Ovis aries: one gene and its partner. The protein of the gene in region 1 purifies or fractionates together with the protein of each later gene. This does not show direct contact. Links are inferred from orthologs where the notes say so. Each region holds a gene or a part of one and is shown in the gene's direction. Other genes may lie near its edges.

What was found.
Region 2: the proteins of SLC25A6 (region 1) and LRRK2 purify together in Homo sapiens (co-immunoprecipitation; 3 studies listed by IntAct, with this or other methods). This does not show direct contact. The link is inferred for Ovis aries from reciprocal best matches to the Homo sapiens genes SLC25A6 and LRRK2.

The regions. Positions count from the first base shown.
Region 1 is NC_056080.1:6,639,203-6,643,394, forward strand, and holds the start of SLC25A6 (ADP/ATP translocase 3), read left to right. Parts: upstream 1-1,392; coding exon 1,393-1,503; intron 1,504-3,191; coding exon 3,192-3,678; intron 3,679-4,192. UniProt on the Homo sapiens protein: ADP:ATP antiporter that mediates import of ADP into the mitochondrial matrix for ATP synthesis, and export of ATP out to fuel the cell.
Region 2 is NC_056056.1:146,809,488-146,812,987, reverse strand, and holds part of LRRK2 (leucine-rich repeat serine/threonine-protein kinase 2), read left to right. Parts: coding exon 1-193; intron 194-2,012; coding exon 2,013-2,084; intron 2,085-2,958; coding exon 2,959-3,080; 3' UTR 3,081-3,500. UniProt on the Homo sapiens protein: Serine/threonine-protein kinase which phosphorylates a broad range of proteins involved in multiple processes such as neuronal plasticity, innate immunity, autophagy, and vesicle trafficking.

The DNA.
Region 1 (4,192 bases):
TGCCCCCAATAAAACTTAACTCACAACTCTCAAGTTGCACTTTTTTTTTTTCTTCCACAGTCACAAATGATCAGACACGACTGAGCGAACACTGCATGCGTAAGGCCTTCCAAACATCAAGGTCTCCGGACACGCCTTTGGAGGCAGGGGGCCTATACCGCGGCGTGTGACGTATGCACACACCTGTCGGCGCGTGGGTACGTGCAACAGCTGCATACGTGTGCATGTCTGTAGACACACGTATACACACGTGAGCGTGTCAGTGAGCCTGTGAAACCAACACGCGTGCCCCTGTTCTTCTAGGAGACACCCCCGCCACCCAAGTCGCAGTGCCCGGCTTGACAGGGACACCCCGAGTCTGAGCCCCCGTGGGTCCTGGAAATGCAGCGGGCCCTCCTCCATCCCGGGACCCCCAAATGCACCCAGAGTCATCAGGGTCAGAGCTGGGGGTGCTGGGTCCTCCGGAGGCGCTCTCCTGGGCGGACCCGGGTCTCCCGGGCTGCGCACAGGCAAACCCTACTCCGAAGCCGGGCCGGCCGGGGTTCGGGGCCGTCTCGTACGCTGGGTCAGAACGCACAGACTGCATCGCTCGTCCCGCGGGGCGAGCAGGGGCCTGGAGGGCGCCGGGGGTCATCAGGACCTTTCGGGGCGGCTGGGTGGGGGGGTGGGGGTCGCGGGCGGGACTCGGGGGTCTGCGGCGCGGAGCCGGGGCCCCAATGATCGGACCGGCCAGAGTGGACGAGCCTGGGGACCCGAGCGTCCGGTGCTACGATTGGGAGAAGAGAGGGCGCGGGCCTTCGCAAAGCCCGGCCTGTCCCCTACGCCAGTGTCGTTCGTCGCCGCCGCCAGGCCAAGCATGACCTTGAAAAGGTCAGAGTGGCCGCCACGCAACCCAGCGCGACCCGCCCCGGGCACGCTCGGCGCAGAGGCGGGGCGCGGTTCCCGACATGCCCCGCGGCGAGACGCGCGGGCCAGGGGCGGGGCCTGGGTGGTGGCGCAGCCAATAGGCGCGGCGCACGGGGGCCCCCGGGGCGGGGCGAGGCGCAGCTCCCGGCAGCCCGCGGGAGGCGCGGCGCGCGCCCAGGGGGCGGGGCCGGGGCGGCGGCGCAGCCAATGGGCAAGGCCGTATGGACCCACGGGGCGGGACGAGGCGCCGCTCCCGGCAGGCCGCGCGGGGGCGGTGCGCGCGCCCAGGGGGCGGGGCCCGGGCGGCGGCGCAGCCAATGGGCGCGGCGCGCGGGGGCCGCGGGGCGGGGCGCGGGCCCCTTAGCGGCTGCGCGGTGGCCGCCCTGTCCTTTCGGTCCCGGCGGCGGCAGCGCTGAGCCAGCGGCGCTCACCTTCCGGCTCTCTCTCTGCTTCTCTGCGCCTCCGCTCCGCTCTCCGCCCGCCGCCATGACGGAACAGGCCATCTCCTTCGCCAAGGATTTCCTGGCCGGGGGCATCGCCGCCGCCATCTCCAAGACGGCCGTGGCCCCGATCGAGCGCGTCAAGCTGCTGCTGCAGGTGCGTGTCAGGCTGCTGGCGCGCGGCCGCCGGCGCCGGGCCCCGGGGAGCTCGGGCGCGCGCGCGGCCCCGGGACCGGAAGCGGGGAGGTCGCGCCGCTTTGTCCGCGCGCGGCCGGCCGGGCTGGCTTCCGGGGGGTCGCGTCACGTGGGCACCGCCGCGAGGGAGCGCATGCGCGGGGGGCGCCCGGCGGCGATGTCCGCATTGGGGCGCGGGGCGCCGCATGCGCGTCGGGCGGCCGGCGGCGGCGCCCTCCGCGCCTGCGCACTGGGGGGCTGCAGAGTTGGAGTGCGCATGCGCGGGGGGAGAGCCGCGTGGACGGACCCTGCGAGGCTGTGGGTGGGGTCCCGTCCCCTTGGGCCGTGGACGGGGAAAGATCTTTAGTCTCCGCAGTTGTACTGGTCTTCTTGCCCACTGTTCGCACTTGTTTGCGCGGGTATGAGGTGGAATAAACTGCGCTGGTCTGTTTGGAGCGTCACAAATGGGGAGCCAGTGGAATTAGCGTTGCGATGGGATTGCCACCCTTAAAGAAAATAGGATTCCCCAGGAAGGATGCTAGGAGAGCTTAAAGGCCCCGTGTAAATGTCTTATTAACGACACGTCGGTCGTTGGTGACCTCTGCAGGTGTCAACCGCAAATTGGCGCTTGTGGGCACCTGCTGTTTACCTCTGAAAGCGGTAGTAGTGTCAGTCGTGTCCGACTCTTGCGACCCCATGGACTGTAGCCCTGCCAGGCTGCTCTGTCCATGGGATTCTCCAGGGAAGCATACTGGAATGGGTTGCCATGCCCTCCTTCAGCGGATTTTCCTGACTCAGGGGTGAAACCCGGGTCTCCTGCATTGCAGGGTGATTCTTGACCGTCTGAGCCGTCTCTATGAGTATTGAGTCAGGTGCTGCTGACCTTCAGACCCCGTGAAAGGACCTCAGGGTGGAGAGCAGGAATGAGGCATGCGGGTTCTGGGAAAAAGTGACAGGCCAGGTCATGAGACAGATGTTTCCAGTGGCTGATTGTGAGCCCACTTCTTGCTTGCCCACCTCATGTTTCAGTTCAGTCGCTCAGATGTGTCCGATCATTGCCGACCCCATGGGCTGCAGCACGCCAGGCTTCCCTGTTCATCGTTTAGAAAAGCACTAAAAACTTTTACTGTGACGAGTGCTCCTTGAGGCTCTGAGAAAGGCTCTGCGAGAGTGTGTGCTCGCTCTAGGAACTTCCCATTGACCAGAATCTCATCCAGTCTCACCTCTGGCTCAATCTCTCAGCTATCTGAGCTGCTCTCCCCCGGGGGGTGTAGTCCTCGCCTTGCCCCAGATCGTAACTCGCCACTCTCGGGTCGTGTATTTTTTATAAGTGGCCATGGAGGTCTGCCCTAGGCCCTGGGTGAAGCCCTGTTCCCCCTCACTCCTGCCCCAGGGTGCAGCACGCCAAGCTTCCCTGTCTGTCGTGTGTGAAAAAGCATTAAAAACCTTCACGGTGACGAATGCACCTTGAGACTGTAAGAAACGCTCCGCGAAAATATGTCCTAGCTCGTATGAACTTCTGTTGACCAGAATCCCACCCATACCGACCTTTCCCTCACCTCTTGGAGCAGTCACTCAGAGCTGTCTGAGCTTCACCAGAATCTCCTCTAAGTCTCGGCGGTGTGCCCAGGCCCCCGGTAGAGCCCTGTGTCTCCCTCCGCCGCCCCCCAGGTGCAGCACGCGAGCAAGCAGATCGCGGCCGACAAGCAGTACAAGGGCATCGTGGACTGCATTGTGCGTATCCCCAAGGAGCAGGGCGTGCTGTCCTTCTGGCGGGGCAACCTGGCCAACGTCATCCGCTACTTCCCCACGCAAGCCCTCAACTTCGCTTTCAAGGACAAGTACAAGCAGATCTTCCTGGGGGGCGTGGACAAGCACACGCAGTTCTGGAGGTACTTCGCAGGCAACCTGGCCTCGGGCGGCGCGGCCGGGGCCACCTCCCTGTGCTTCGTCTACCCGCTGGATTTCGCCCGAACCCGCCTGGCGGCCGACGTGGGCAAGTCGGGCAGTGAGCGCGAGTTCAGGGGCCTGGGAGACTGTCTGGTGAAGATCACCAAGTCCGACGGCATCCGCGGGCTGTACCAGGGCTTCAACGTGTCGGTGCAGGGTATCATCATCTACCGCGCCGCCTACTTCGGCATCTACGACACCGCCAAGGGTGAGCTCCCTGCCGGAGGCGACGGTGGGGGCGGCACCGGGAGGGCCCGGGCCTTCTGCTCCCTGGGGCAGGGGCTTGTCCTGGGGGGAGGGCGGAGGCACCTCAGCTGCTGATAGCTGAGGGCTCCCAGCCCCAGCAGCTGGAGGCTGAGACCCAGGGGTGGGCGGGGCTCTCTCCTGGGCGAGTGGACTCCCTGAGTCCTCATGAGCTCCTCCCTCTGGGTGTGTCTGTCTGGCCCCAGAGCCGCCTGGTGACCTCATTTCACCTTCATTCTCTCTTGAAAGTGAAAGTGAAGTCATTCAGTCGTGTCCGACTCTTTGTGACCCCATGGACTGTAGCCTATCAGGCTCCTCCATCCATGGGATTTTCCAGGCAAGAGTGCTGGAGTGCATTGCCGTTTCCTTCTCCAGGGGATCTTCTCGACCCAGGAAAAGAACCCGGGTCTCCCGCATTGCAGGCAGATCCTTTAGCATCTGAGCCACCACCCTCATTTCCAAAGACAGCTTCCTTTTAG
Region 2 (3,500 bases), on another chromosome or scaffold:
GTAAGCAAGGAATTGAAACACAAAATGTCTTATTCTGGGAGAGTGAAGACTCTCTGCCTCCAGAAGAACACTGCTCTCTGGATAGGAACTGGAGGAGGCCATATCTTACTCCTTGATCTTTCAACTCGTCGAATTATACGTATAATTCACAACTTTTGTGATTCTGTTAGAGTCATGATGATTGCACAGTTAGGCAAGTTTACTTCCTTTAAATCTTTTATCATATTCTCTTAAGACTGTAAGAATATGTTTTTTCTTCACTTCCAAACATTGTATGAAGTGTCTCAGAAATTTTGAGTAGGGGCCTTAAAAGCATGAAGTGAGTAGATGTTTTTAGTCCCATAAGAGAAGCAGGTATTGCAAGTGAACACTAAATTTAGGTCTTACTTTCTCTCTTTTCTTTATAATCAAGGCAAAAAATATATGTTAAGCATTTTTAACTTTTTGACAAAGAAATTTAAGCAGATGACTATTTTGATCTTAGTTTAAACTTTCTACCCTTGTTAAGGAATACCATTTAGTTTTTCTTTCTGTAAATAAATTTATATTTTTGTACAGTATATATTGCTACCAGTGTATATTCTTATAGCAATATATACTTCATAATCTATATGCAAATATTGGAAAATCATTATGTTTTATTTACTTTATGTTTTCTGTTGTTCCTACTTTTCTACTCAACTATGAAGAAATCATGATAGCACATGATGCTCACACTTAACTCTTATTTTGACTAGTTATTTGCTTTAGGGAATAGACTTAGTATTTATACAGAGTTGATCACAAAAGTGGGATTAAGTTCTATAAAACTAGAGTTTATGTAACTTTGGGGCTTCCCTGGTGGCTCCACAGTAAAAAAAAAAAAAAAAAAAATCCACCTGTAATGCAGGAGACGTGAATTTGATCTCTGGGTCAGGAAGATTCCCTGGAGGAGACCATGGCAACCTGCTCCAGTTGTTGTTTGGGAGATCCCATGGACAGAGGAGCCTGGTGGGCTACAATCCATGGGGTCACAAAAGAGTTGGACATGATCTAGCTACTAAACAACATCAACGGATGTAATTAGCAAATGAATAATAAAAATGTCGAAACAGGATGAAGACAACAGTAAACTCCTTTTACAGTAACGTATTAAGGAGAGACCAGTGTTTCTCTTCAGTCTCACAAATTTCCCATGAATAGGTGTCAGAGTTGCACGAAAGTTAGAATTACGGGCTCCTCATGATTGACGACTGCCAGGACACTTGTCCATGCAAGCAAAGTAGTAGGCGGATGGGGGGTTGTCTCTCTAGTCTTACTCACCAAGGTTGTTGTAGCCTTTAATTTGTATGTACTTGGTATCCAAATGGTTGTTCATTACTGACATTATAGGGCAATTTCAATGGGTTTAATTGATTTTTTAAATAATTTAAACATAATATACAATATATGGTTTGATCTAGCTTCAACTCAGCTCTCTTGCCCTTGTCTTTTGCCGTATTCTTCTTTGCTCTTTCTGCTCTAGAAGAAAGTTCAGCCTCTCTTAAATACCATGCTTCATCCTACCTCAAAGTTTTGTGTGTGCTGTTTCATTCTGCGTAACTTAGTTACTGTTTAGTAACTAATCTCATCACTAGACCATAAACTCCATTTGTCTCTCTTTAATACATTCCTGTAAAAGGAACTTACACTATCTCTTTCATATATAGCTTTTGTTGGAGGAGTAATATATAACTATTGAGCCCATTTTGCAGCGAGTTTAAGCTGTTTTCTCAGATTCTCACAATAAGAATCATAACAAGAAGGTAGATCAAATTTTCTAACTTTAAAAACATACTGGTCACCTTGCAGAGTATTTTTTGTTCATCACCTTGCAGAGTATTTTTTGTTCAAACTCAGTTGAGGGATCTCTTAAGTAATGGAATTGTAAGTTAATTTCCAAGGTTTTTATGTCTTAAAATATGAACTGTTGTACTCTTTAAAGTCCAACTTATTATATTGTTTTAACAGAACTCTTTTATTTTTTAATAAAGGAAGCCTTAAAAATGTCATGCTGGTTTTGGGGTATAACCGGAAAAGTGCTGAAGGTACACAACACCAAAAAGGTAATGTTTAATAGGATACTGTATTCCAAGCAGACTGAAATGACATGAATGATTATAACATATTATGTTTTTATACATTTAAGGTAAATATTACATATGCATACAACTTTAGGCATTTTTAATTGATAGCTTTGTTATAGTTCAAATAATTTAGATATAAATCTTCAAAATTAAGTTTTAGTGATTTAGCAGTGTAATATATTTTTCAGGTGAAGTAGAGCTAGCAACCACTATTAAATGAGAACTAGCTCAAACCCAACATGGGTATTTTCCCTTAGATCTTACCTACTCCGTATTATCCAAATCATAGTCTGATTTTGAAAAGTGTTTGAAAAGGCTTTTTTTCTTTCAGAAAATGAAGCTTTATGTTACTAAAGGTCCATTGTTAAAATTTAGTAGTTAGTTCTATAATGCATCTTAAACACTTTCCAAATATAATTTCTTATAAATGGTAATAATTTAATGTTACTTTTATATGAATATGTATATAGTGTGTGTGTGTGTGTGTGTGTGTGTGTCTGTGTGTGTATGTAGTCCCAAGTGGCACTAGTGGTAAAGAACTGAGATGCCAGTGCAGGAGAATTAAGAGATCCAGGTTCAATCTCTGGGTCGGCAAGATGCCCTTGAGTAGGGCATGGCAACTTGCTCCAGTATTCTTGCCTGGAAAATTCCATGGACAGAGGAGCCTGGAGGGCTATAGTTCATGGGGCCACAAAGAGTCAGGAACGGCTGACCACACACACACACACACACATACCCCCACACATATATATACACACATACACGTTGGTCCAACAGCTAAATATAAATTAACAAAAGATAAAAATGTTTCATGGCAGATCTTTGTAACATGATTTGTTTTTTAATTTTCTAGAGATACAATCTTGCTTGTCTGTTTGGGACGTCAATCTTCCACATGAAGTGCAAAATTTAGAAAAACATATTGAAGTAAGAAAAGAATTAGCTGAAAAAATGAGAAGAATATCTGTTGAATAAGAGGGATATTGGAAATCTTTATCTTTGGATAGAAAAATGGTTATCTTCTTTTGTAAATATCTTTAAAACATGTTTATATATAAAAATAATAATTTCTACTACTTGCTGTTTGCTAATGTGTATATGAAGGAATGTTTATAGATTTTATTTTGTAAAAATGTACAAAATTGTTACCAGTGAAAATATATTTTAAAGAACTATTTTAAATGTAATATTTCTTATATATCCTAATTAAGTTTATGGATTAAATAATAAAAGGAAATCTAAAAAGTACTTGATTGTAGTACTCATACTAAAATTTACAAAGTGGATAATTTTTTGTTTTGTTACTCATAATGAAGGTTATGTTTATTTTGCATTCTGTGGTAAGACTGGTCTATTGCTGGATTACCATCTAGATATTCTGCGAAGTGGAATAAA